Linked DNA regions of Saccharomyces cerevisiae S288C. The gene in region 4 interacts genetically with the main gene of each other region. Each region holds a gene or a part of one and is shown on either strand. Other genes may lie near its edges.

Evidence for each region.
Region 1: mutations in PAM16 (region 4) and EFM1 impair growth when combined (synthetic growth defect), as found in Saccharomyces cerevisiae (2 studies listed by BioGRID, with this or other methods).
Region 2: mutations in PAM16 (region 4) and PAM17 are lethal when combined (synthetic lethality), as found in Saccharomyces cerevisiae (3 studies listed by BioGRID, with this or other methods).
Region 3: mutations in PAM16 (region 4) and ATP11 impair growth when combined (synthetic growth defect), as found in Saccharomyces cerevisiae (2 studies listed by BioGRID, with this or other methods).

The regions. Positions count from the first base shown.
Region 1 is NC_001140.6:18,478-26,821, reverse strand, and holds EFM1 (protein-lysine N-methyltransferase), read right to left. Parts: upstream 5,040-8,344; coding exon 3,282-5,039; downstream 1-3,281. Other genes in the region: MUP3 (Mup3p), read right to left, coding at 1-581; YHL037C (uncharacterized protein), read left to right, coding at 643-1,044; CBP2 (Cbp2p), read left to right, coding at 1,313-3,205; ARN1 (siderophore transporter), read left to right, coding at 5,851-7,734. UniProt on the Saccharomyces cerevisiae protein: S-adenosyl-L-methionine-dependent protein-lysine N-methyltransferase that monomethylates elongation factor 1-alpha (TEF1/TEF2) at 'Lys-30'.
Region 2 is NC_001143.9:560,397-567,881, reverse strand, and holds PAM17 (Pam17p), read left to right. Parts: upstream 1-1,989; coding exon 1,990-2,583; downstream 2,584-7,485. Other genes in the region: CCP1 (cytochrome-c peroxidase), read left to right, coding at 684-1,769; OAF3 (Oaf3p), read right to left, coding at 2,744-5,335; rRNA-processing protein LAS1, read left to right, coding at 5,585-7,093; transcription factor TFIIE subunit TFA2, read right to left, coding at 7,230-7,485. UniProt on the Saccharomyces cerevisiae protein: Component of the PAM complex, a complex required for the translocation of transit peptide-containing proteins from the inner membrane into the mitochondrial matrix in an ATP-dependent manner.
Region 3 is NC_001146.8:41,001-48,572, forward strand, and holds ATP11 (Atp11p), read right to left. Parts: upstream 3,281-7,572; coding exon 2,324-3,280; downstream 1-2,323. Other genes in the region: cleavage polyadenylation factor subunit PFS2, read left to right, coding at 1-1,016; prephenate dehydratase PHA2, read right to left, coding at 1,071-2,075; DAL82 (Dal82p), read left to right, coding at 3,447-4,214; tetratricopeptide repeat-containing protein EMW1, read right to left, coding at 4,308-7,022; RFA2 (Rfa2p), read left to right, coding at 7,287-7,293, 7,402-7,572.
Region 4 is NC_001142.9:222,878-229,836, reverse strand, and holds PAM16 (import motor complex subunit PAM16), read right to left. Parts: upstream 2,511-6,959; coding exon 2,061-2,510; downstream 1-2,060. Other genes in the region: GSM1 (Gsm1p), read left to right, coding at 1-812; SET4 (Set4p), read right to left, coding at 3,100-4,782; protein kinase IME2, read right to left, coding at 6,510-6,959. UniProt on the Saccharomyces cerevisiae protein: Essential component of the PAM complex, a complex required for the translocation of transit peptide-containing proteins from the inner membrane into the mitochondrial matrix in an ATP-dependent manner.

The DNA.
Region 1 (8,344 bases), on a different chromosome or scaffold from region 4:
AATATTATAAATGATATGCTGACGTACTTGGACCACGAATCATCCGTGACTCCAAATGCGCTCAACACGTATTTACCGAAGACGATAGATCCCGTCAATGCATAGCCAGTTAAAACACTGTAACACGAAAACACCACACTAATTAATAGTCTGGGTCTTTCAAAACTCCGTTCGAGGAAGTTTTTACGTCCACCTGATTTCGGTATCCAGGAACCAAATTCTAGAAAAAGATACAATCCTGCAAAAGCGATCGCAGCGCTAAAAACCCAGATCGCAAAATATATCAGCTTATTACCACCTGTATTCAGTAAAATCACACTGGGTACTGCAAATATACCTGACCCCATTATCCTCGAAACAAATAACACAACCGTGGAGAACACACCTAAATGTCTTCCCTGTGGAACTTCCATGAATCTTGCCGTCTCTGCCTTTATCGCCTGCGCTTCCACAGTATCCATCGAACTGAATGATCCAGTATTTGTGGAACCATATTTTGTGGTAATATCACCAACTTCCACATCTATGAAAACATCTTGAGAGGGATTTGCTTTCCCACTATTAAAAAGCAGCGGTTCCATTTTTACTTATTTTGAGCACTGTACGTCTACGTTGCCCTCAGCAACTTAGACTACAAACAGAATGTACAGATCATCGATAAGCATCCAGGTCTTTATATGTGTATTGTTTTTGCCCCTTGACTCAGGCAGGCCTCTAATCTATATGATTGATTTGTCATATATATGCAGCGACGCCACAGTTTTTTCCGGCAAGAGTCGCGTGATCTTTTTTTCTAATCCAATCTGTGAACATACTAGAGGAAACTTCTACCTTTTCTACCTGAATTACATTATCAACACTTTTGCACCAAAAAATCGTGGTACTAGGAGATGCAAACCTTTTGGTCTCCACATCAATTGCAGGAAAAAGATTGACTGTTTGCATGTGCAATTATCTTATATATTATGTAAAAATAAAAGTAGGAAACGCCACATGGATGCGCATGCCATAACCCTTGCATGGTTAGCACACGCCCTCACGTGAGTGAATTTGCCAAAATGATAGTCAAATGTGTTGATAGTTCGATAAGAGGTGAAGTTGGGGAACTAAAGGTGGAATAGAAAATGATAAAACAAAGGAAAGAGTGAAGATTGCCGCCGAGTAGAATCCAAGATTGGTGTGTATGGGTGTATTTAGTGAAAGTTCAATTGCATTGAAGATGACAAATTATGCTTAAGTGAATGGACAATGAAGGCTTCTCTTGAAGGAGTAAGGCTGCGCTGAAGGAAAGGTTTGAGACAGAGTGACCAAAATGGTGAATTGGCAAACATTGTTCATGGTCTCATTGAGGAGACAGGGCAGTTCCTCTCGTTACAGGTATAAGTTCAACATGGAGAATATCACACATCAGGTGTTCCCTCGCTGTAAGCAAGCGTTTAAGAAGACAAACTTATCTTATGAATATTGTGATCTTGAAGGAGTACTGTATAATATTTCACTCACGGACTTGCAAAAACTGCTATTACGTGATATAAACGCCCCTCGCGAACACGCATTCAAGATTGTTAGAACAGATCTAACTCAAAAATCCTCGAAGAAGAGGATCCAACACTGGGAACGGATTGCGCCTATGTTTGACCACCCCTTAAGTCTCTACGAGAAGTTGTTCAGCGAAATGGATGAGGACTTCAAGCCATCTTTCGAGTGGCAACAATTAATAAGGGTACGATGCAAAGATGATAAGTTGAAACTGCAGCGTGTAATTTGGCCTAAGTCGATATTTTCAAACTTTTGTCGGGGAATCGGGGTTAAGAAGAGCACTTACGATAGACTCTTGGAACAAAATAATGGTGAGGTACCCATGTTTGTAAACCCAGCTAATGCAAAGCCCTTGCCTCTTTTCCAGGTTTCCGATGAGGCGATGATTGGGGAATTCGATGGAATTGGTATTTTCCCTTACTTTGTAGATAAACATAGAGAATTTTTCGTTACTGAGGTAGACAAATTGAAGACCAAGATAGCTTCGCCACTTTGCACCTTGAATGAACGAAAGCGCATTGAGAAGGCTAACGCTGGTCGGATACTGGCGAACGAAGAGGGTAAACCATTCTATCTGGATGCAAACAGTGCCACAACTCGAATCGCTGGTGGTAATGTCGTCACTTTGAAGCAACTTTTAGAAAGATCGGTTAGCCATAAGACATTGTGGAGCAAACAATCAAACAAAGACAGAACGTGCCCTGGAGACATTTTAAGAGCTACAATATTATCAAACGACTTCTCCATCCGGCAATTGAGGGCTGAATTTTGCAAAAATTTCATTCTCTACAATATATTCACCATTTTACAACGTAACAAGAAAAGCATCCGTTCCTTCTCTGGTAACGATAATGCGCCTTCCTTTCAATTTAGTTGGAATGTTTGGGACTCATATATATGGAAGCAATATCAAGAGACCGAGTCCATGAAAATACCCACGGACCAAGCTTCTCTGATCAACTACAAGACAAAATACGACTCTTTTCTTCATGACCTACAAACATATTCCGCACTGGTAATTTCAGAAATGAAATGGAACCAATTCTCTATTTTCCAAAATGATGAAACGACTTTATCAAGATTTGAACACATCACATTAATTTTGCAAACCGTGCTGACAAAATCGAAAATGATTAGAATTTTCCAGCCAAACTTGTACAAGTTTATGCAAGATGATTTAAGACCAACTTTAATGGAGTTGGTGGGTTTCACTGAGTCAATAAATGCAACAATAGAACCTGGTTTTGCGAATGAACAATCGCTACAATCTGCAAACGGATTAAAGAAATTGGCCAACCAACTTTTATACTTCGAACAGGAAATATATGGCGAAAAGTTCCGCGTAAATAGGCCCATCCAGCTTCGTCCAATAACATTATCAGCAAACTACAAAATTGTTATTCTGGATAAGAAGAACGCCATACCCGAAATATTTCAAACCCTACTGAAATTCATGACACAAATAACGACATATTTTGTTAAAGATTTGTCGGAGGTAGAACTTCATGGGCACATGCATTGTATTGATAAAAAAATGCTGGACAAGTCGAAATTCATGTATTTATACGAAGAGAAAAGCAACGAGGAAGTGAAAGCAGCTTCTCCTCAAAAGGAGAAGATAGTAGATAATATCATTGGCCTATTATCAAATGATGAAGAACATTAACATGAATTGGAAAAAGAAAAAATTGCATGTAAATATATACATACGTAGAATTTTATACTTAGGCTACAGATCAAAGCTAAATCTGTAAGTCGTATGCCTTCTTCATTAGAAATATAGGCTCTTTATTTGATTTCCTGATCCAAACCAATCTATCAATCGCAGTATCTGCCACAATGAACTGTCTTATGCCCCAATCACCGACACTATAAATTTCTGGAATTCTCTCCGATAAATTAGGGAAGTATTTTTTATAGAACGGCAAAAACTCCATAACATCTTCTTTTTCAATGACAATTGAATCACTAACTTCTTTGAAGGTTTGTTTAATGAAACCTCCCTGATTATTACTTTTATCGTTGATTAATTTGACTATCCAGAGCAACAATGCGTCATTAAGACAGTCTTTTGTGATCAAATCTTCGTAATTTATAGCACCAAATACCAGTAAGAGAGAATTGGCAAATATTTTGTCGTTTTTAAAAATTGTCTTGAATGACAGAGAAAACTCCTTATTATTGCTATATATTTTTTTTTGTAAAACGGACAATTTCTCAGTAGTGGCGTTCAGAATTTTTTTGTTATCTTGATAGTATAGTTTGATTAGTTTAATAACATGAGGGCGTAATTTTTGAGTCGAAGAAGTTTTAATTTTAAAATTCTTATAAAACAGCAATCTCTGGGATACTACAGATGTTAATTGATCAATACCTTCCAATACGCTCCTTACGGTTGGAGTTTCTTCAGACTTTAATTTACTTAGGTAGGCAAATAACGCTAGTAGAACCGGTGGTAATGGTTCAGAAATTTTTAAACTAAATTGTAAAATGGTAGTTTCTCCATCGTCAGTAACAAAATTACCTGATTTGTTAAAATCCACGGGCAAACCGCTAACTAAGGTGGATGGTAGCTTTAAAGTCAACCTAGAGAAGTCAAACTTATTCGAGGAATCCCAAAACCCGTAGTTTAACAAACATTTTTCATTAGAAATATTACCATAATTATTAAACAATTCATCCTGTGCACTAAATGTGGTAGTCTGCGACATGAAACAAAGTTCATTTTGTTCATTCATCTCCCATCTTACTGGTACATCGTTTTTATGGTTTAATAAATCTACTATTGGATACAAAAATCCTTCGTTCAGATTGGTGCGGTCTGTACCGGCCCTGCCTAAAATGACACGAGGAAATGCCCTAGAATTAAAGATGCAGTACGACCAAAGATACGCCACGAACGAGTTCCATTCCGAATCTTCTAGTTTACATCCATTGATGTGTGCGCAGAACTGTTCCAACGGCACTACGGCAGAGTCTTTATTCTCCTGGAATAAAGACAAGAACTGCTTATCTTGAGAAGAGTGTTCAATAGATAAAGCTTGGAACAGCATCCTCCACTCCTTTACTAGTTTGTTCAGCGTATCTCTCATAGTTAAGTACACGTCTGTACCATGCAAATTCATGACTTCATCAGTAGACCAAAAATATGGTTGTGGAAGGTGCAAGGGTAGCACATCTAAATATGGTTTGTAAAAGGATTTCAGGTGAACTGCATCGGTGCCAAATTTCAACTTTGACAAGTACAACTGTGTCACGGAATTCAAAAGACTCCTTTCATTAGCAGCCTGGGAAAATTCTGATAAAGCTTGCTGGGAAGTGATCAGCAGAGTTTCGGGTACCCTAATCAAAGCTTGGTCGGGTTTGGGAGAGAATTTTTCGTTTACAAATGCACTAACACCAGCATCCTCTGTAATCCTAAAAGAGATTTTCGGATCGATGAAGGCTCCATTATTTTGAGCCCATTGTAAGCAGTTATCTAGCTCAGTTTGGGTGATCATGCAGAAGTTCGTTAATTAAATGACGAGGTAGCTTCACCAAGCTTGATTCCTTAGTCTTTTTTACTTCCATCATTTCTTCTTTGTTGGAATGGTCAAGTTCAAGTTGAAAAATTTTCTTTTTCATAGTCAACTCATCGCAGGCACATTCGCCTTGAACGAACAACGAGCAGGACTCCAATAGAATAATAGTAATAGATTACAGGCCTATACAATCAAGACAACTATCAAGGTGGGGAGGGTTTCCACCTGTAACTTCCGCTGACTAATGATACATATTATCTGATCGGAAGCCAATGAAAGATCCCCTAAATATCACGCATGTAAGCGACCGCGATGAAGCGTACTGGCAGCTCTATCACGAAGCGATGGAAAAATACACCTGCGAATGAAAATCCATCAACAGAAATGAGAAGACAATTGTATATTATCATTAACGTTCATCTTTAGGACTTGTTCTCTTACGAAATTTGTGTGCCTGTATTTGTTAGAAAGCCACATATGTCTTGGCCTTTTTCACTTCTTTCCTGTTTGGGATTGCAAATTTATCAAAATGCACCCATAAAAGCAGGTGTGATATAACAAGCACATATCGTTAGGAAAATAGTGTCAAAGAGAAAAAAAGGCCAAGCAAATCGGAGTACAGTTTACATGAAGTAATGCAAGATGCATAGAACTGAAGATTTCAGGAATAATTGTATATAGGGGAGGAAACATTCGATAGCTCTCTTTTTGCTTTCGTTCACTATATCTCTTGTTTTCTTTCTTAAAAATATATGGACAGTAGTTCAAGCCACTGCATAGCAACGTACTAATGGAGTCTGTTCACTCTCGCGATCCTGTTAAGGAGGAAAAGAAACATGTCTTCATGGGAATGGAACACGAGTTGAATCCTGAGACTCATAACGATTCCAACTCCGACTCATATGGTCTCCCTCAGTTATCTGAAAAATACAATGCCTTGAGACAGAACAGGAGCCTAATTATCCAGCAGACTGAAATCATTGGCTCTGCTTACAATAAATGGTACTTACAAGCGATTTTACTTTTGAGTGCTTTCATATGTGGCTACGGTTATGGACTGGACGGTAACATCCGTTATATTTACACTGGTTACGCCACATCATCCTATAGTGAGCATTCTCTGCTGTCTACAATCAACGTCATTAATGCTGTGGTCAGTGCCGCTTCGCAAATCATATACGCTAGGTTGTCTGATGTGTTTGGTAGACTATACCTTTTCATTAGTGCTGTCATCCTATATGTTGTGGGTACAATTATTCAATCACAAGCTTATGATGTTCAAAGATACGCTGCAGGTGCCATTTTCTACAATGCTGGCTATGTGGGTGTAATCCTTATTCTTTTGATTATCCTATCCGATTTTTCATCTTTAAAGTGGAGACTGCTGTATCAATTTGTCCCGACTTGGCCTTTTATCATCAACACATGGATTGCTGGTAATATCACTTCCAGAGCCAATCCTGTTGTCAACTGGTCTTGGGATGTAGGTATGTGGGCTTTCATCTTTCCCCTATCATGTGTTCCAATCGTTTTGTGTATGTTGCACATGCAATGGAGGGCCAGAAAGACTCCTGAATGGCACGCTTTGAAGGGCCAGAAGTCCTATTATCAAGAACATGGTTTTATTAAGATCTTAAAGCAATTATTTTGGATGTTAGATGTCGTTGGTGTCCTTTTGATGGGTTGTTCCCTAGGTTGTATCTTGGTCCCACTGACCTTGGCTGGTGGGGTCAAAACTACCTGGAATGATTCAAGATTGATCGGCCCCTTTGTTCTTGGCTTTGTTTTGATCCCTATCTTATGGATTTGGGAATATCGATTCGCTAGAGATCCAATTCTTCCATATAGGCTGGTCAAAGATAGGGCTGTATGGTCTTCTATGGGTATTTCTTTCCTGATTGATTTTATTTACTATATGGCCGCTGATTATTTGTACACGGTTATGATTGTTGCCGTCAATGAATCCGTTAAATCTGCAACCAGAATTGCCACATTATCTTCATTTGTCTCTACTGTGGCCTCTCCATTTTTCGCTTTACTTGTAACAAGATGTACGAGATTGAAACCATTCATAATGTTTGGATGCGCGCTATGGATGGTGGCTATGGGTTTATTGTACCACTTTAGAGGTGGAAGTCAGTCCCATTCAGGTATTATTGGTGCATTATGTGTCTGGGGTGTGGGCACTACTTTGTTCACTTACCCAGTTACCGTCTCTGTACAATCTGCCGTCTCTCATGAAAACATGGCGACAGTTACAGCTTTAAACTATACCCTCTATAGAATTGGTTCTGCTGTCGGTTCCGCAGTTTCCGGTGCCATTTGGACTCAGACTTTGTACAAACAAATTTTGAAGAGAATGGGTGATGTTGCTCTAGCCACAACTGCCTACGAATCTCCATATACTTTCATTGAAACCTATACTTGGGGTACCCCACAAAGGAATGCCTTAATGAACGCTTACAAATACGTTCAAAGATTGGAAACTATCGTGGCTTTAGTATTTTGTGTTCCATTAATTGCATTCTCCTTATGTCTAAGGGATCCTAAATTGACTGATACTGTTGCTGTGGAATACATCGAGGATGGCGAATATGTCGACACGAAAGACAATGATCCAATTTTGGATTGGTTTGAAAAACTTCCATCAAAATTCACTTTTAAACGGGAATAAGTTGATGTTTACGTTGCATGATTGCTTGATATCACTTTCCATGACTATATTGCCCAAAATATACGGTGTCACCTCCTACTTTTTCCTCTCTACAAGACTCTACCATTCTAATGATCATAACCAAGAAAAGAAAAGATCAGAAATGTCTAGTTCTTTGCATATTCCTTTTACCATAACAGTATATGCATATCTACATGTATAGTGCGGCACTACTTAATATTACGTAACAGAGTAATATCTTTACTTCTTTTGTTCTGCCTGTTTATAACATCGATTGGCCAGTTGTCTCAGCACTTGCTTCATAACAAGTGAAAAATTAGAGGCGTTGAATAATTATGTACCTTGACTTTGAAGTCGGTTATCATAAGTGCTTCGAGAAGAGATATAAAGACAAGATAAAGTGTTATGTCAACTATGGTGAAAAAGGAAGGGAAGACAGGCGGTCGCTGAATCTTAAATCCACTCGCCTTTTTTTCTTTGTTTTTCCTTGGCAAGCCTATCCTTCCAGTCGGCTAAGCCCCATTCCATTCAGCTTGTAAAGAGATAGTATGATTTACTTGTAGTCTGGGATGACAAGAGTAGAATACTCGCAGTGATCACGGTTTGCTGC
Region 2 (7,485 bases), on a different chromosome or scaffold from region 4:
TTTATTAGATGTGAAAGTAGAATTTTGCTCTAGCGACGAAGCACGAAAAGACACTATCTTATACTCAAGCTGCCACTTCTTCAGGGTCTCTCCTCTTTTCTCTCCCCTCTTTATTACTCCTCTCAACCTTACAATCAAAGTGAGCCATTTACTTCGAAAATGCGGAGCAACGGCGGGTTACTGGTGTTCCAGCAAGAGCTGTAATAATTCAATATAACTAGTAAGAATAGCCAAGAAAGCCAAAAGACGAGCTTGGATCGATGCGAAAATGTGGTCGCTCCACACCAATTACTAGTTATCATTTAGCGCTGCCGTGTGGCGACTACACTTCAGCGACCTATGTAGCTTACATAATGTCGGGATGATTTCTCCCGCAGCTAGATCTCGCCAATGGAAATTCCAAAGCCAAAGAATATCCTGCTTTGTCAGGAATTTCGTAAACCATGGTCAGGCCCAGATTTGTAGTTTTCTTTACCAACGACAGCGATGAGTTATTTGGTCCTGAGTACTGAGTAATATGACTCTCTTGGCATCCAGGGGCCGGCCCAAGCCGGCTGTTACCAATTTAGGAAAGGACCCTGGAGCGAAAAGTACTTAAGCAGAGACTATTGTACACGCTCGCTAACTCAAGAACATGAATTTCGCATTCATGCAGACGCAAACACACACGTATATCTACAATTATGACTACTGCTGTTAGGCTTTTACCTTCACTGGGCAGAACCGCCCATAAGAGGTCTCTCTACCTGTTCTCCGCTGCTGCTGCTGCTGCTGCTGCTGCAACTTTTGCTTACTCGCAATCCCAAAAGAGATCATCGTCTTCTCCCGGGGGTGGTAGTAACCACGGATGGAACAACTGGGGGAAGGCAGCTGCTTTGGCTTCCACTACACCGCTCGTTCATGTCGCCTCTGTCGAAAAAGGGAGGTCATACGAGGACTTCCAAAAGGTGTACAATGCGATTGCACTCAAGCTGAGGGAAGATGACGAATATGACAACTATATAGGCTATGGGCCCGTATTAGTCCGTCTTGCTTGGCACACTTCAGGGACCTGGGACAAGCACGACAATACAGGCGGGTCATACGGTGGTACATACAGATTCAAAAAGGAGTTTAACGATCCATCCAATGCGGGCTTGCAGAATGGCTTCAAGTTCCTGGAGCCCATTCACAAAGAGTTTCCCTGGATCTCCTCGGGTGATCTGTTCAGTCTAGGGGGTGTCACTGCCGTGCAGGAAATGCAGGGTCCCAAGATTCCATGGAGATGTGGTAGAGTCGACACGCCAGAGGATACTACCCCTGACAACGGGAGACTGCCTGACGCTGATAAAGACGCTGACTATGTCAGAACATTTTTTCAAAGACTTAATATGAATGACAGAGAAGTAGTTGCTCTTATGGGGGCTCACGCTCTGGGCAAGACCCACTTGAAGAACTCTGGATACGAAGGGCCATGGGGAGCCGCTAACAACGTCTTTACCAATGAGTTTTACTTGAACTTGCTGAATGAAGACTGGAAATTGGAAAAGAACGACGCGAACAACGAACAGTGGGACTCTAAGAGCGGCTACATGATGCTGCCCACTGATTATTCTTTGATTCAGGATCCCAAGTACTTAAGCATTGTGAAAGAATACGCTAATGACCAGGACAAGTTCTTCAAGGATTTTTCCAAAGCTTTTGAAAAACTGTTGGAGAACGGTATCACTTTCCCTAAAGACGCGCCCAGTCCATTTATTTTCAAGACTTTAGAGGAACAAGGTTTATAGGTCACTGAGGAAAGATATTATTTATTGGTTATATTTCGTATTATTTATCTATTTATTATATTTATTATTATTTAGGCTTATGCTTTTTTCTGAATATCATCTAATACGTTTGTACGGTACGTCTATGAAAAATGGAAAGCCATACAATGGTATATCATAAGGGAAACTATGTTCAAAGAAGTGTTAAAAACATTCAGAAAACATTGTCCGCCTCTTCAAAATGTTTACCAGTGCCATTAGATTGTCATCGCAAAGACTGTTCGCTAGTCAACCTTCTGTCACCGCTGCGGCATTGCGCTCGACTGCTACAACCTTACCCTTAAGATCATATTCTCAGCCCGCATCCCTTCAAGACTCCAGTATCTTGACATGGTCTGATTTTTTCAAATTGAGGAAACAGCAGCGTAGAATCAATGTTGGTTCTTCGCTGTTTACTGCTCTTTTGGGCTGTAACGTTTCATGGGCTTACCTTTCCACAATGGAAATAGACCCGACTCAAATGCTATTCGGATTCGACCCATTAACTGTAATTTCAGCTGGGATAATAGCCTCTGGTGCACTAGGCTACTTGTTGGGTCCGATAGTTGGTTCGCAAGTTTTCAAACTTTCCCATAACCAACAATTGGCACAGTTCAACAACAAAAATAAAGAGTTTCTAAAACATATCATCAATAACAGGGTCGATGCCTCTTCTCAAAGTTTCAGTAATCCTGTTCCAGATTATTACGGTGAAAAGATAGGTTCCTTAAAGGAATATAAGCAATGGTTAAGAGATTGTCACGCTTACGCAAAGAAAGCCAAAGAATTTTTGTGATTGAACGTGTGATCTTTTCCTTCTTCTCAGACTCTGTATATATACATATATGAATAAAGTAGTGCGATATATAACGCTACTAAATAATTCGAATGAAATAGGGAGGAAGTGAAAGGTATGAATATTGTATATGTCCTATACGTCTCTTTTATCTCTGACTTTAAAAAAATGATACGAAATCCACAGGATCAAAAATATCTTCAATCACGTCAAACTCTGAGACAATTAAATCATTAACAGGCAAAGCGGGTGCTAAAGGTTGTTGTAGTAGTTCTTTTTGCGGAATTTCAGCTACTTGTTCATTCGTAATGCTTATGTTGGTATCAACTTCAGTATGTTTAGCTAATTGTGAACTGGCGTGATCATAAAAGGATGAAAAAATATTAAACCTGTCGGAATATTTCTCCATATCCAAGAATTCTTGCATTTCCTTTATGCGCATTTGAAACTTAAATCCTGTCATATCATCGTTGTATTTACCTATGGGATAAAACTCATTGTTCCATATACTTAGAATATCTGGCCTATACCCATCATATTTTTGTACTGTCTCCTGAAATTCTAGTATTATTGGACAGATGTCATTTAATCTCATATCGTTGTAATCTATATAACTATCACCGTTATCTTCTAGTTTCAATTCATTCAGCAAAAATTTTAAAATAATTCTCCATGCATCTTTTTCACATGAGCGATTCAAGATCTTGTAGGCAATTTTAGCGGTGAACATTTTTCTAAAACAACGATAGTACTCAAAGCCAAATTCGTTAAAATACACAGACGAGACCCCGTAAAGAAATTCTATCATTTTCTTCTTGTCGGCGTACTGAATTGTTTTGAAGCGGTCTCCTCTGAGAATGAATGCCGGAACAATGACCAAAACTTTGTTTGCGACAATTTCCACGATTCTATTGGTATAAAACTTTGTCAATGAATCCACCTCTAAGGCATCACTGTTAAAAAAGTAATTGTAGCACTTCTCTGAGATATGAATGACCATATCCCACAAATCTTGGAAACTCTTATAAAATTTTGTAATATTGCAGTCATATTCATAAAAGATCATTTCTCCGTGCAGCAAACTTAGTGAGAATAAATCTATTATCCATTCCATTTCGAAATCAAAATGACGCATTGTTTCTTTTTCGTTTTTCGACAGGCTTTTTAAAATATGAAAGTTTCTTTTTAAATCATTTATTAGTCGGTGCAACAAGTTCAAATCTACCTTTCCTGGATCATCGTTCAACGTATCGTTTATCTTTTTCATCAAGTTATCCAGGGTTAACATTCGTATATACCATGTGGGTGTATCTGCTTCTTCTTTGAAATGGCACTGCAAGGTTTTCCCAATTTGACATTCTTCACCGCTAATAAAACACATCTTCCTGTCCCAAAATAAAACATAACTCCATATCTTTCTGAAAACTGAAATGTAATCGCTAGGTTTCATTATATCGTATGAAGGCCTCGTATGTCGGTTTATTTTAAATGAATATTTTTCTGGATGAGAGAAGCAATACCAGTTAATGCCCATTTCTTTACATGATGATATTATTGTCCCCATTAAGATTTGACAATATTGAGTTTCGGGTCCATCGCCATCTTCAGGGGCACACCAGTGCAAGAACCTTAGTAATATGAGACATTGCAACTGTAATAAATTACATTTTCTGAGGACCTTCGTCTCGAACAAATAGTGTTTAACAAGAGCCAAAAACTTAGAGGTATCAATTTCTTGAAGAACCGGGTATATATATGGAGTTAGCTTCGAAAACTGGACAGAAAGTCGGCATATTTTAATAATCAACAAGATTATGCAGAAAACCATATGATCGTAGTGTTTTATAGAAATTGGATTCCCTTTCTCGACTATATTTTGATAAAATATCGTTATTTCATGACGCAAAACTTTCATATCGAAAATCGGTATCATATTGTAAATTTTTTCTTCAAAAAGTGCTAAAACCTCACTTTCAAGTATTTTTAAAGGAGGCAAATAATCCTTTGCTAATATAGTTTCTGAGCTGAATTTTTTAGCATTATTTTCTCTGTATTGAGCGAATTTGTTAAACAATGATTTGTGAATAGTCTGATGCATGCGGAAGTTATTGCCCTTACCAACAACATCATCGCTAATGTGGCGTTCGTCATCAGCATCGAAAGTGGATAAAGCTTCGAAAGATTTAGGCAAGCTTCCATTTTTCACATTATTGCCGTTGCTTCCCAATTTATCCATCATTTTTTTGATTGCGATACTTCTAAATGTTACCATTGCTTGGAGATAGGGGTCGCGATTTTCAATTGCTCTATCCGTGAACAGACCAAATAAATTATCAGCAGACCTTTTGGTCTCTAAATAAAACCCATTAGGGATGAGGTCAATAAAAAATGGAGTTTCTTCATGAATTGGTAGATAATAAAGTGATGATTGATTTTCAAGTTCTCGTACTCTTTGCCAGTGATCTTCGTCTTGTCTTGTCTGTGACGATCTTCTTTTCTTAATGAAACCTGGACTTATTCGTTCCGCAGGAGTTGATTGTTTCCTCAGAGGGTCAGCATCATTCAATGAAGGACTGCTTTCAGGTTGTCCAGAGCTATCGGTGAGATAGACACAGCTGTCCACATCTCCCAGTCGTACACATGTTCCACATGGTTTCGTTCGATCGCACTTACTTTTCCTTTTTTTGCAATTTGTGCATACTACAGTAATTCGATGTCGTTTTTTTGTCCTAACTTGGGAGTCATATCCCATTATGAGATCAGTTGTCAACTAAAGTCTGGTATCAATTGGTTTCTAGTTTCTTTCTTCTCTTCATAGACTCATAACACTGCAAAATCGCAACAATAAATTCATGACTTATTGTTATGCAAAAAATTACCCGAATGTGAAAGATTAATAAGCTCATCGCAGTCGCAGAAAGAGTGAAAAAAATACCTAAGAATGCCTAAATTAGCTTAAACAAAAGTCATTTCTAGAAAGCAATGAAAAAAGGGCAATCTAATGATACCACCACGAATCGTTCCATGGAGGGATTTTGCTGAACTAGAGGAGCTGAAACTTTGGTTTTACCCGAAAAGCAAAGGAACCATTGAAGATAAGCGACAGCGTGCAGTGCAAAGAGTACAGAGCTACCGACTAAAGGGTTCCCAATATTTACCTCACGTGGTGGACTCTACAGCACAAATAACATGTGCGGTATTGCTAGACGAAAAGGAAGCGTGTTTAGGAGTACATCAGGATTCTATTCCTATCCGGTTATCGTATGTAATGGCTTTGATTCGGTTTGTCAATGGCTTATTGGATCCAACGCAACAATCTCAGTTCGCTATTCCCTTACACACATTAGCTGCTAAAATTGGACTGCCGTCCTGGTTTGTTGATTTGAGACACTGGGGTACACATGAGAGAGATTTACCTGGATTAGAAATGCTTCGTTGGGCCGCCAATGAAGCGTTATCTTGGCTATATGATCACTACTGGAACGATGAGGAATTAGAAGATGACAGGGATGATGATGACGATGATGATGATACCGGTTACGGATACAGAAGAAATGATAAACTGGAGAAATATATGGAGTCATTAACTAAAACACTTGATAAATGGAAGCGACTTAGAAACGAGTTTCTGGAATACAAATGGGTGTGGGAGAATGCAAACGATAGTTTAATTACAAGTAGTAACTTTTCTGGGGATAATTTGGTGAACTATGATGCCGAAAAGAGGAAAAGTTCACACGCAAGTTCATCAGAAACTATGATCAGGGAAAATTTGCGTCAATGGCAAGAACTTTGGAAATTATCCATTTATCACAATGTGGTTCTTGAGAAATTTTTTAACAATTATGACCCACTTTTACTCAAAGTTTTAATGCTTAATTTGAACAATTTTGATTGGAAGGTCATTGAGTGGGTAGCTAGGAATTACAGAACCCAACAAGATGATAGTAATATAACGACAATTTTAAAAAGGAAATTCAATGCCTGGAAAGAACTACAAAAAAGGCTGTTAGATGTTATTATAAATAACCTTAACAATAAAAATTTTAAAAATAAATGGCAAAATTGGGAGAAACTTATTGATGAAAATGCGTCATACTTGATATTGTATTTTTGCCAATCTATGCTGGCCAAACTAGAGACTGAAAAAATTACTGGTAACTCATGGAGAAACAAAAAACGGAGAAAACAAATTGATAGCACAGTGGAAATCGAGGCAAAACTGAAGGAAAACATAGACAATTTATCATTAAGGTTTAATGAAGGTGAAATAAAGCTGTATGATTTTATTCCTGCGGAAAAAGATTCCGTTCCATTGAAGAAGGAAGTGAGTCCGGCATTAAAGGCTGATACCAATGATATACTAGGCGATTTGGCGTCTTTGAAACAGAGAATGAGCAGTTTCGGAACAGTAGGTAAAAAAAATAAACAAGAGGAGAACAGAGCTACACCAGTAAAAAATTGGTCAAGGGTTCAAAATTGGAAACCCAAACCCTTTGGTGTCCTGTAACCTGTTTCCAATGCTCGTTATAAATACGTTGTAGACTATAAAGCTGAGTTGTATGCTGCACCCTAACGTGCATGTATATATAATCACAGTCTCTTTAACCTAATATGCAAACGAAAATGATTTAATCAAAACAACCTCATACTCTATGGGAATAATCTTTCAAGATACCGGTCATATGAGTGTTAGTAATCTTACCCTTTCTTTGTCTCTTCTTTTTAACTTCAACTCTCTTTGTTTGTCTTTTGATAGTAGCAGGATCGACACTAGCAGGCTTTAGACCTAAATCTTGCAGCTTTCTTGGCAATTCTGCAAATTGCGGTAATTGCACATTTTCCCACATTTTAACAAACTCCTCGTCAATACATTTCAAGTTACCACCGCTGTTATACCAA
Region 3 (7,572 bases), on a different chromosome or scaffold from region 4:
AAACCCTCATGCAAGCACATGATTCGGCTGTGACTACAATGAAATATTCTCACGACAGTGATTGGATGATTAGTGGGGACGCAGATGGAATGATTAAGATATGGCAACCAAACTTTAGTATGGTTAAAGAAATTGATGCTGCACACACGGAAAGTATTAGGGATATGGCATTCAGTAGTAACGACTCGAAATTTGTTACCTGTTCAGATGATAATATCTTGAAGATTTGGAACTTCAGCAATGGCAAACAAGAAAGAGTATTATCGGGGCACCACTGGGACGTGAAAAGTTGTGATTGGCATCCCGAGATGGGGTTAATTGCCTCCGCATCTAAGGACAATTTAGTAAAACTGTGGGATCCGCGTTCCGGAAACTGCATATCATCAATTCTGAAGTTCAAACATACTGTCTTGAAGACGCGATTTCAACCCACCAAGGGAAATCTATTAATGGCGATTTCAAAAGATAAATCGTGTCGTGTGTTCGACATTAGATACAGTATGAAGGAACTAATGTGTGTAAGAGATGAAACGGATTATATGACACTAGAATGGCACCCAATAAATGAATCTATGTTCACTCTGGCGTGCTATGACGGCTCGCTAAAGCATTTTGATCTTTTACAAAATCTAAACGAACCTATTTTGACTATTCCATACGCCCATGATAAGTGTATCACCTCGTTATCATATAATCCAGTAGGACATATATTTGCCACAGCAGCTAAGGATAGAACCATAAGATTTTGGACTAGAGCGAGGCCAATTGATCCTAATGCATATGATGATCCAACTTATAACAATAAGAAGATAAATGGATGGTTTTTTGGCATCAATAACGACATCAATGCTGTGAGAGAGAAGAGTGAATTCGGTGCGGCCCCGCCACCACCAGCTACACTTGAACCACATGCGTTACCAAACATGAATGGATTCATCAACAAGAAACCGCGTCAAGAAATCCCAGGCATCGATTCAAACATCAAGAGTTCCACATTGCCAGGTTTAAGCATATAAAAGTGCGCTTTGACGAGATTTTAGGATACATAAATAAAAAGACTATATAACATATTATTTGTGATAATATCTCTCATTTCTGGGGAATGTACCCCACAGGCACCACTGTTTACTTTTGTCGCTGATATCTTCATAGAATTTTTCTTTATTCTTTGGGGTATTCTTCTCGGTGTAATATTCAATGAAAAATAAATATCGCCAGTTTCTATCATGTTCGTCCAAATGGAATGGTCTAGAGTTTATAGAACACATGTTGAGTGAATGGATTTTTAGTATGTTCAAAACATCTACCAAAGAACCAGGGTCATCTTGACGAGTAGTAAAGGTGAGTAGGTTAACCCGTAGTAATCCAGTGTCTTCTACTTCATTGTCGCCTGCGTTCTCCCTTCTCTTCAATACTAAAAATCTTGTTGTATTTCCTAGCTTATCATTTATCGAATGTTCAATGATGTACGCCTTATGCAATTGGGCAGCTGTTTCACTAGCAATGGCTAAATGCAGAATGTTGTCGCAATCGGCCGTTGATGACCGAATGCATTGGTTCACTGATTCAGATGTGGAAGAACAATCCAATCTTATAAAGGTGACCTGCGGAAATTTTTCTGCCATGGACCTTAAGTAACATTCAACCTGGCCCCATACTTGCGGATGTGAGTGTATTATGACTTCTTCAAAATTTCCAAGGGATGCAATACCATTTGGTAGTTGGATTGGGCTGATTAGACAATGGGTAATGGGTACATATTGCTCCGCTATAACTTCTATATCTGGTGTAATTCTATTAGTATCTGCTGGAGCAGGTAAGGATAGGGCTTTTTTGATCATCCTATCACGCAAGAGATCATAGGAAAAAACTACTTGTCCATTGGTGGAATTTTCCAACGGTACCACTGAATAATCTATACTAGTGTCGTTCTCCAATTGGTTAAAACATTGGGGGATAGAGGCTGCTGGGAGGTACTCAACATCAGATGTTGATTGAAATTGTTGTAATGCAGCTTGATGGGAATACGTACCTTTGGGACCCAGAAAAAGAACCCTCAAAGTCTTGCTGGCCATAATTGAAGGATGAATGCGGAAATATAATGAAGTTGCTTTTCGTACTTTTTTAGCCTGTTCTTTCTGCGTATTATATTCATCTACTAAAATTTTTATTTTCATTTTTCATTATGAAAATACAAGAGTCATGCTGATAACTGTGTAAAGAAACTGTACGCTTGTCGCAGATGATGTAGTACGTATTTTATTTACAGGTGTCATTAATATATATATATATATATATATACGTATACGGAAGTAATTCTTCGTTAATTTTCCATGGACTGTGATAGCGAAATCAATTTCTCGACGGTGAATCCCGGAGAGGCCTTAGAGAAATCTCTTAACAACTGCACTCTCTGTTTAGCAACTGGAGTTTCTTCACCCATTGCACCATAAAACCTTTGCACGTTTAGCAATAACAGCTGTGCATCCTGTACATTCACGTTTGTATCCGGTTCAACATGGCCATTCATAAAAACAATTCCCTTATCCTTGACCAAATCAGAATGGAACTGCAAGGTAGTATGTGGCCTTGCAAATTCCTGGTGTAGTTTGTATTCTGCTAGGGAAGTCATCATACAATGTGTTGTTTGGGGTCCGACAAACTGCCATTGGATGTAGTGTAGTTCCATTCCCTGTTCTTCGTTCGGTTTTGCATCCTCAGATTGAACTTGTCTAGGAAGTGGCAACACGAATATAGGGTTATTCCTGGCATTTGCCATCATCTTATCATAAACGGAGACAGGAATCACAGCGCATAATGTATTATCTTTTTGTGCCCATCTTGCTCTCCAAAGAAACTCTACTTCCTGTTTCGATAAGTCCTTCAGTTTTCCAACATCCAAAAAAGAGTCCAATGTTTTGAAGGGAACTTTAGGAGCACTTGGATCGAGAGGACTTCTTGATTTCGTCATCAAATGCTTGGAGTTGTTATTTTCCATTTGAGTTTTTTGTTGGTAATCCTCTAGTTCTTTCAGGGGGTCGATTTTATTAAATTCCCGCTTCTTAGACTCTATAGTCTCTTTCAAATGATTTTTCAACTCTTCTATGCTGTTAAAACCTTGTTTTTGAGCCTCTTCCAAAAGTTTCTTTCTATACTTCTGCTCTGGGCTGGAAGAATAAAAACGAAAAACAGGAACTGTTCCAATTGCCTTGTTAAAAATGGGCGACAGCTGATTAGAAATATGGATTCTAGTGCCGATTTTTCTGGTTAGTCTCCACATAGTTATTCTTAAATCTCTTTTGTTCTCTATTTTCAAGTCTTGATAAGTTCTTCACATCCTTCGATTACGGCGTCAAAATAAGCGTTATTTCCATTCGGGTGAGTTGAACCATTGATAACAACATGGTTTAACGATACTTTGAAAGGTTTAGGCGGAGCCAACCATAATGGATGAATCGGTGGATCCTGTGGAGCTGCTTCTACGACTACTGATACGGCACAAACCTCATCTGAAACCATATGCCTACAGACAAGATAGCTGGCAAAGGGTGCTCGATGAGTACAACAGACAGACTGGGTCAAGATATAGACAATCAAGGACGTTAAAAACCAAATTTCGTCGACTGAAGGACCTCTTCAGCGCAGATCGAGCCCAATTCTCTCCTTCCCAGTTGAAGCTGATGGGAGCACTCTTGGACGAAGCACCAGAACATCCAAGACCAAGAACTAAATTCGGAAATGAATCATCTTCATCCTTATCATCATCTTCTTTCATTAAAAGTCATCCGGGGCCTGATCCGTTTCAACAATTATCATCCGCTGAACATCCGAATAACCACAGCTCCGACGATGAGCATTCAGGCTCACAACCGCTGCCCCTGGATTCAATAACGATTGGAATTCCGCCTACTCTTCACACAATCCCCATGATTCTGTCTAAGGATAACGACGTCGGGAAAGTCATCAAAAGCCCTAAGATAAACAAGGGTACAAATAGGTTCAGCGAGACAGTACTGCCTCCACAAATGGCTGCTGAGCAATCGTGGTCGGACTCTAATATGGAATTGGAAATATGTCTAGATTATCTTCACAACGAACTCGAGGTGATAAAGAAAAGGCAAGAAGATTTTGAGTGTAAAGTTTTAAACAAGCTCAACATAATTGAGGCTCTCCTTTCACAGATGAGACCACCCAGCCAAGGAGATAAAATATAAAAACTTCTATTAGATATGCTTGATTCATGTCCATATGTATCTATTTATACAAACATTACGTAATATACACAGATTATACATGAAAGGTGCTCTTCATATTTGGCTTCTTGCTTCCACTAGCCTATCCCAACCAGGAGAGTCATCCCATCTGCCTTTGCCTTTACTCATTAGAGCTTTGATAGTAGATCTACATTTGTATTTCCAGTCTTTGCAAACCAGACTGCCTGGCCCATATTTACCTTCCATTTCACCAAGTGATTCATAGGCAGCCACCAAATCTTCACAAGCATCCACTGTATCATTCCAAACCTTTTCTTCAACTTCTAAATCAGGATTGTGAGAAATGGCCCTATAAGCCTTCTCGTGGCATTCTAGGGCGGCCCATGGTCTCTTCCTCCAAAGTTCTACTCTTGCGACCAGTCGCCAACATCTTGCACTGGTTGTAATTACCTGAGGTAAAGTGTTACAGATAAACTCAGTACAGCTCTTTTGAAAATAAGATAATTGCTGCGGCTCCTCTGGATATTCACTAGTCACTAATAGTTCTACTAGTTTTTCAATAATTGGTAAGTCGATGGAACCTTCGCCAGATTTGTCCCTCCTAATACTGACTAATTGTTTACATGCAGTTAAGACATCCTCCCACTCATTCAACTTAACAGCAACAAGCATGTAATTCTCCCAAATTTTCCAGTTCTTTTGAGCGTCACATGAAATGGCTCTTTTCAAACAACTATAAGCTTCTTTCAATTTATCCATTTTCGTATATGCAGCGCTCAAATTTGACCATGAAAGAGCATGATAAGGGTCTAATGAAACACATCTGGTAAATGCCTCCGCAGCTATCTGCATTTTACCACATTGTAATCCAACGCAACCATAAAAATACCACGTTTCAAAGCTTAATGGGTATTGCCTTAACGAGTCATTTAAATGTTTCAAGGTAGCAGAGTAATTTGGTTGTGCTCCAGACTTTGGAGGAGGATTAAAGTAATACTTTGCAAGGGAATTTTTTGCGTTGACGTATTTTCCAATCTCCCAACTTTTTTCCCATAGGGATGGATCCTGTTTTATATCACCCAAAATGGAGTAAGCCCTGGCATCCGAATCATTTTCATTTATTCTTTGAAGAAGGATTTCTTCTGCCTTTTTTTCATCTCCAACAGCGGCATAACATAATGCAGTCTCGCATGCCATACCAAGTCTTTCATAAATTTCCACAGCGGACTTCAAAATACCCAGCGACATATATTTTTCAGCTAAGGTGGCATCCAATTGCCACCTAGGGATGAACGGCAGCTGGTGGATGTATGACAGCCTGCTAGCAACATTGATTTCGCTTGAACTTGGAACCAATTTACTCTTAATCTTCAAATCCAATTCTTCTACGAGGGATTGCATTTGTAAAAGTCCTCTTTCAATAGTTTTAGCCTTTGTTGTCTCAATAATTGACCTTTCCCATAATGATCGGGCGAAAATAGACCAATTTTTGTCACCGTTTTGATATAATATTCTAGAAAGCAAAGCAGTAAGTTCTTCTTCCACAAGAGGATCCTTGGCCGGAGTTGTGTTCTTTATGGTGTAAAGACGTAACAGCAACTGGATGTTGTCGTAATCAGATAGGGTAGGTTGATCGTTAGGGTTCAAATCCAGCAACAACTTTGGAATATTTTCTTGACGTAGTGCCAATGGCAATAGTTTATCTTCTTCATAACCTTCATTTAGGTCTACCTTTTGTCTTTTACTATAAATTTGCTCGTCTAGAGGTTCATCAGCAATGGACTCAAAATGAGGCTTCTCCAATAATAGATCGGACTCTAAAGCAAATGTTTCTGGTGTAGCAGATGTCGTTCTCAAAGCAAAATTTTGAAATGTGAAGGATTTGGCAAGAATGATCAAACCGGCATGAGCCTTTTGCTGATATTTAGTTCTAGTAGCGCGTGCACCCGTCATTACAAATTCAAAATTTGTTATCTTTTTCGCTCTGGTCAAGGATGGCAGGCACAAATGTTCTGTGTTGATGGCCAATGAACATTTGACATTCTCTAGATAGTACATTGCACAAAGTTCTCTTTTGAAATCTTCGTGAATACTCTCCGGTAATTCCTTAGTTATCGCATATGCAAGGTCAGCAGACTGATATATTGCAGATGCAACACTAGCTTGGAACCCAGAAGGTTCTGGAATCAGTGACAATTGCGTCAAAAGAGCTCTTGCCCACCACCAATAAGCTACAGCTAATAATCCAGGAGTAGACTCAGCAGAGATAATAGGTAGCGGAATTTCTTGATCCGGGGTAACATCAAATAAGCTTTTTTGGCCGGTTATCCTTTCAAGTAATAATAGTGATAAAACCAAATACAATGGATCATCCATAAATTCGTAGGCAGGCTGGCCCATAATGGCTAATGAGCGGGAAAGGGCTGTATTAACTGCTCCTATTTCAATTCCAGTTTTGCCAAACAAACCTGAGATTGCTTTCAACCTAGCTGCTGGGCCGGTGTAGTTATTTTGAATAAAGGTCTGTAAGAGGGCAATAGCCAAAAATAGCATCTCATTTTCTTGGCCCATTTTGAAAACCTCAACGTTAAGAAAGTCATTTAGAGCAGCAATAACACTAGATGTGGATATTTCTCCCGAAATACTAATTTTTCCCTTAAATTTGTCCACAAATTGCTGTACTAGCTGGTATGATTCACCACTGATGATATGTTCAGCCTTTTTCACATATGTCTGGTCGAAAGAACCACTTTTCAGAGATTCTACTTCTGCAGACAGCAATAATTTTGCATGCAATAACGTCTCCATAATTTTGCAACCACTAGTTTACTTTTTGCCTGGTCTGATAGCTTCTTTTTAGCAATTCCTTTGGCCTCGATGAGCTTCCATTTTCAATTTTCATCTTTTTTTTCACGATGCGAAGTTTCTTAGATAATTATCGCCATATACGAAACGCGTTAGGAAACGCGTTCTTTCCTTTATAATAAGCAATATTATATCAACTTAAGGTGGAAGTAATGTGGCAAAATCGATAGCGACTATCTAGAACAGGCTAGTTTAAGCATATACATAATGGCAAGTATGTATTAGTGCTAGGAATTGGAGGATTTGCTCTTTTCTGCATCATTTTTTTTATTTTTATTGGCGAATGTTAAAATTACTAACAATGGATGGGATTCCAATACAGCCTATCAACCATATAACGAATATTCATCAGTAACGGGCGGTGGCTTTGAGAACTCTGAGTCCCGCCCAGGTAGTGGGGAGTCGGAAACTAACACTAGAGTTAACACCTTGACACCTGTGACGATCAAACAAATTCTAGAGTCCAAACAGGATATTCAGGACGGCCCCTTCG
Region 4 (6,959 bases):
CAGATCTGGAGAAACATGATACCGATTTCATATCACCTTCAAAGTTTCGTGAATTAGTAAAGACTCCTCAAGACCTATATGACAATAAATGTTTAATAAAACCGCATAATTACAAGCTCGCATACACCAAACTGCTAACTACTTTAAGAAAAAAATTTCTTGAAGGAGCTGAAATTGATAAATCTGCCTCAGTAAAAGACGAACACAGTACCCAAAAGCATAATTTGAGATATGATTTAGAAGTTATAATACGCTCTATACTAGAAAGATATGCTCCAATTTTCATTTCGTTAACATCCAATATGATTGAAGAGGATTTGCTATTACAGGAAGTTACCTTGCAAAGGGCTTTATTAGATTTGGAGAACATGGCAAAATTAGTAAGCTGCACACCGATGTGCATCTGGAGAAGATCAGGCGAGATTTGTTTTGTCAGTAACGAATTCTATTCTTTAACAGGTTTTAACAAAAATTTACTATTAGACCGCACCTCCTTTATTTTTGAATATCTGGATCATAAAAGCGTTTCGAATTACTTTCAAATATTTAACGAATTGCTGGCATTTGGTTACAATGATATCAATAAAAGGAAAAAACTATTGATGTTGAACGCATGTTCTTCTACCTCGTCAAAAATTACAGAAGGGTTTTCTTTTACTACGGATGGAAAAGCAATCTTTACTAAGTGCAATTTATTATTAAGTAACGGTCTTTATTTGAAGTGTGCCTGTTGTTGGACAGTAAAAAGGGACTCGTTTAATATCCCAATTCTCGTAATGGGACAATTTTTACCAATTTTTGAAATGGACTGATCACTATTTTTTGGGCTTATTACTGATTACAGTTTTTATATGCATTCTGTCCGTTTCTTTGATTTTATCGCTTATTTTTTACTTAGGTTGGCAATTCAGTATTCTTTAGCGTTTCTTTTTTTTATTTTACTTTCCGTATCAACAATAATATTTATATTTATGTACAGTTTTACATTGTAATTTAGTTTCTCAGGAATTCGTCAAAAATGTAAAATCATCCATTGAAAACCTTCTTCCCTGAAGAATTTTAAGCATAACTTTATATTTTTAAACAAGGTGGATCTAGAAACTTTGTATTAATTACAAGAATTTATAATATTATTCGGGAGCAACAATATGGATTTCTTGCCAGTAAAACCCTACCTATTACTTCCCTCTTTATTATTAGCCGGGTCACACTAAATTGAAAAATTTGTTCTTTCCTGTTTTTGGAGCAACAGAAAAGTATAAATAGAGCTAGTGTTGTCCGATTGGCAAAAACTTCTTCCCTTTGTTACTTCTTCTTTAAAATTCAAATTTTTCTTTTGATTTTTTTTCAAAAGGCTAACATCAGTAGTGGTTAATACTATCTTTAGATAATATTAATTTCATTATACCATAGAAACCTAAAGATTAGGTTATTTTCGTTCTTCATGTTATGGAGTGTGAGTGATGAGGAGCTTGCTCTTTTAAGCTCATATTACGTAATAAGTTAATACTGGAGCGAGAATAATTTAAATCATTTCATCATAACCCATAGCTGAATGAACTTTGACTACTCCTAAACAAAGTAGTAACAATTTTCATTTCGTTTCCGGTTTCTTAGATCGAATATTATTCTGAGGAAATTCCCTGATTACATATCAGGGAAAGGTTCGCGTTTTTAGAGAATTGCGTAATGCGATTTGAAAGTTTAAATTCCTAAGCGACTCTTCTTCATGATAAGACAGTTTATATTTTGTATACTTTCTCATTCCCATAATTTGTAGTGCCTACGGGGATGGACTTGTCTTGGTACCAACTGACGGTACGTTCTGATGCTGCCTTGCTTGTGCTCCAACATTTTTTTTTTAATTTCATTTTCGTGTACGGTGCGTATATCGAGATGGCATCTGAGTATATTTACTTTGGTACATATACTAATATTAACTAAATACAAGGATGGTGGTTGAAGATTCCTAACGTACAGGAAGCAACCAACTAGGAAAATATATGCACTGCTGCATGCTTTCGATAACACTTGTGACGTAATGATGGAGGCTTCCTTGACTACTGATTGCTGCTTGCACTATTATCTGCACCAGATGAATTTGTTGAATTCGGAGGAGGTTTCGCTGTTGAAGCGTCCCCTGCTTTCGCCTTCGCATTTTTTTCTCTCTGAGCCAGTTCCCATTTTAACCTTTCTGCTGCTCGATAAACTTTGCTCTGTAAGTAGAAGCTTCCACCTTTTTCTTTATCGTTAACCTCAAATAGATAGTTAAACCTGTTATTAATCTTGTCCATGTTTAAATCGCCCTTGGATTCTTCAATATTTAAAATTTTACAACTCTCATCCAACGTAATACCACCATATTCGCCTTTTCCTGTTCCCCTTCTAGATGCATTTGTAGCACCTTGTTTCACTGATTGTGAAGCCGCTTGTCTATACGCCTCGGCGAATGCTTTTCCAAAAACTTGAGTTCCTGTGATTATAACCTGTATGAAAGCCCTGTGAGCCATATTTTATATCCAACAAGTCTATGTTTTTCTTATGCTCAAGTCACGAAGCTGTTGCCAAATTTATAGTCAGCTGAAATATGTGAATCGGATGCAAATGAGTTATAAGTTGAAGCTTCAAAATTTGCTACGTGAAAAATGATAAACGATGATGAAGTAAATAAATATCGTAAAACGAAAAACTCTCTTTTAAAAAATTCATATGTAGGAATTTCATTTGATAAGAACCTCACTCTTCATATCAAATAAGTCATTAACCTGCCATGAAATGAATTATGGAAACAATGCAGCTTTTTGAAAGGAAAAGTGCGGTGGATTTTAACGTTAAGGATCCTCTCAACTAATGATTGATGCTTAATCGTGGCATCTATAAATAAAGCATGAATTGTTCTCTATAGTTACAAAGTGGTGATTTATTATAAAAGTGTTTTGATATTCACGCTTTCAACATTAAAGCTAAAAACAAAAGAAAAAAAATGAAGACCAATGCGAAAAAAAATACCAAGATTGAAGTTTTGGAAGAAAAATTATGATGATAAAATTAAGCTTTCAAAAAAGATTAAAATGAATACTATTAATTTTAAAATTTCGTTTATGGCTTACAGTTGTGCATTATTGTATTAAAGTAAGATTTATTAGATAGGGATTCCTTCGTATTCCTCATGAATTCTTCAGAAAAGTTTTTGATTTTAGTTATTGGACAATTATGGCCCAAGTACCCACATGCACAATCACAATTTGTTAAAATAGTCTTTATTGACCCCATCAACCAGAACTTGTCGGGATCCGGTAGGGAATCCAAATCTTTAGATGCATTTATTATCTCCCAAATAGGATTTCTCAAATCCCATTGCCATTCTACGCTTATCTCTTCTCCCTTACGAATATCTCTTATAGCCCTTAAAACAAATTTAACTCTACAATCATTATCTCCTCTTGGTTTTTCGTCAAGCGGTCTTACCGTTACTAGTTCCACATTGGGCTCACAACTCCGTCTTATGTATCTTGTTAATCCGCCTGTTTCTCGAGAGTCTATATATAAAGGCCAATGTGGATGAAAAAGTACTTTAGGTTTTGTCGTTCCCATCAAACGATAGTCATTATTTGGATCTGTCTGATAATTTTTTTGAAAATCAATTTTGCCCAAATATTCTTGAATTAGCTCACCTTTAACACAAGAATCTGCAGCGAAGACTCCAAAATCTCTTTCATTTGATGATTTTCTTACCTCGATGTCAGCTGACCTTGAGCTTTCCCAGTTAGAACAAACAACCCAATCGTCATCATAATGGTTATCAATAAACATCTTAACATATTTGTCCTTATACTCTGATATTGTTATTGCTTTGAATTCCGTGTCATTGGAAGAACTTACCTCATTCAGTAGTGGCTTCAGAAAGTGGCTTGATACTACCAGTTTTTCTTGCCTCAATTTTTTCCGTATACTATTGCTATTTTCAGTTGTTGGGGCGGTATAATGAAGTTGACGTTTCTTGGGCTGTTCCTCTATGTTATTCACAGACTGTTGATGCTGATTTGTGTTCGATGCTGAAGTTGTCACTATGGATGAAAATTGAAATAATCGCTCATCTCCCATTTTTCTAGGGAATATCATTGGTTTTACTTGATTAACCTGCACTTTCGTATCACTGTCACATCTTTTGCAAACAAAATCTCTTTTTATTGGATCTGATTTTTTGAAAGCATAACATAACTTGTGCTGCCACGTTTTACATTTGTTACACTGTATAAACAACTCATCCTTGGAGTCACTTGAACCGCAGATGCAACCATTTTTAGGTTTGTTATCTTCTGCTCTCATGGAGGGTGTAATTTTATTTTCTTTCGATGATTCATTGTGTGTTACCGAGACCTTGGAATTATCATCTTGATTCTGTTTTTTCAGTGGAAATGGTATGGTGGCAGCAGTTGCCAATGCTACTGCTGCTGCTATTCCTCTTTTATTTGTTGATGCCGTTTTTGATGAGCCTGATGAAGAATGATGGTTGAAAATGCCCCTGTCATTTTGAAATAAATGTAAAGGCGTTGGGCCAGCTGTAGGCATTGTATTGAATGTCCTTATCGGCATATACTGAGGTGAGGGTAATGTCTCTGAAGCTGCACTGCTGACGGACAAGGGTGTGTGATCGCCGTAATCTTTAGACATTGAACTATTAGATGAGTACGACGACGACCGCGATATGACCTTGTCTGTGGTTGTGTATGTCCTTCCTTGCCTGATATGACGAGAAGATAGTGATTCCGGTGAAGTCATTTTGAAGATGAAGCGGTATTTGTAACTTTCTGACGAGGGTACCAATCTTATTCCGGCGTTCCACGCTGAAATTATCTATGCTTTTGTCTTAAAGAGAAGCAAACAAGTAATTTGAATCAGATATATTTCCCTCCTTTCCTTTTCAATAAAAAGTGATGAGATGGCCTATTGATATCAAGCTATGAATAGGGTAGCCACCTTTTATACAAAGTTTCTTAGATGTGTATAGCCGTGCAATACCAAAATCGAGGTTCCTTATATACTTCCTAGTACTATCCAAGAACAATAATAAGGTTTCCTGAAGGAAAAAGAGGTGGTTATTGATCACCAGAAAGTTTGGCATTAAAAACAAACGACAGCACAAAGGAACTTTCACCCTACAGCACCTTCTGTGTGCATGATTACATGTACCCGAGTAGCGAAAAAAGCCAGAAAATGTGCAAGAATAAAGGTATCTCAATGAACGAGCTCGAGCGTCAAGAGACGGGTATAAGCGAAGAAGCGCAATGCCGCCAGCCAAGCAAAGCCAAACGAAGAGATCGACCTTCCATGGGGTCGCAACTTTTCCCGGTGACCTCTACATGTGTGATTGTTAGTTCAGCGTAACAGAGTTTCAACAACATGCATATACGAGTGTGCCTTCGTGCCTGATTTTGGTTGATTATCCGGCTTCCAACCTCGTTAAATTTTCATAAAGTGCATATCGTGTAATGTAAAAAGTAAAAAGATAAAAAAGACTCATATGAAATCTTGCTGCATGGAGACAAGTGCACTCGAATTCTTTACTTATATTTTCGCTCTTGAGCTCGTCCTTTTACTAGCATATCAATATCCGTTTCATTGAAAAGTGGCCTTAGAAACGCGGACACATTAGTCTCGTATGTCGGCTCTCGCCTACTTCTTGCCTATTGTTTCAGTGCCTTTAAACCTTATTTCCCTTCCCTCGCGTGCCATTCGGCGATCTCGATTTTCCGCAAGGGGCCTCAAACGACCGACATCAAAAACCAAAACAAAGGCCAAGCACATCGTTTAGAGAAGAAATTTTGGGGGTAATATGTTTTAACGATGCCATATATGCACCAACTTCTAGGGGAAAGAATGCTTTTGACTATCTCTCCTTCCTTGCATATAGGCCAGATTTTTCCTTGGATTGTGCTGTATTACTATTGGCTCCAAGGAACCTCACAGTGAGCTTTTCCAAACCGAAAGATTTCTCTTGCGATTTCTTCGTATGCAGTAATAGGGTTTTTTGAGAATATACCGGGCATAATGTTGCAGTTATCAACTATCGCACATACAGTAGTAACAGTTCTGGTTGTCCTAGCATTAATGCCGTTTTAATTTTCTGCAGAGTATTGCCTGTGGACAACAGTAACTTATACGAATAAACATACCAAGTTAGGATCTGAGCCGGGTAACCGAACACAAAGATCTCGTTCTACTTTTTTTGACCTCTTGATGAGTTGCTTAACAAAATCAGTAGCCGCCAAGAGCAAGAAATCATAAAATGTTCAAGAAAAACAAACATAAAAATATATTGGAGGGGAATAAACGCAAAGTAATGTCTAATAAGTTAAATTAAAGCCATCGAAAAAGCACTGTATTAATAGAGCAGTAGCTATTTAGGTGAATGCATAGTAATATAATATATATGCGAACATATGTATGTCTATGTGTATATAACTATATAACTGTGCCTAACGATTCGTCAGTCAAATGACAAATTATTAGAAGGTTACATTTCCAAAATGTTGGTTTGAATTGGATAGATGAGGCTCGAACTTTTCCCGTGATTTTTTTAATGTAGGTATCAAGAAATTTCTTGGAGTAAAATCTGGCATTGAATTAAACGAATCGCCTAAAGAGGCATCACCCAAAACATTATCACCTCTATGATGTGACCTATCTGTATGTGTGTAATTTGAGTTGTTCACATATGGTAGAACGATGTCTTCATCAATATCTGCATGTTCATTAAATGGTTGTTTTCTCTGAAACTCATCCTTTTCAGGAATTTCCAGGTCAAAAAATAGCTGTTCCATGTTGTCTGCTTCATCTTTATTTATAATTTCAATATCATTTGTCAACTGCCTAATATTCGATAATGAATGATCTAAGACTTCTTCATCTGGTAGTTGACAAAGGGCCAAATTATTACGAATTTCTTTTGATAATTC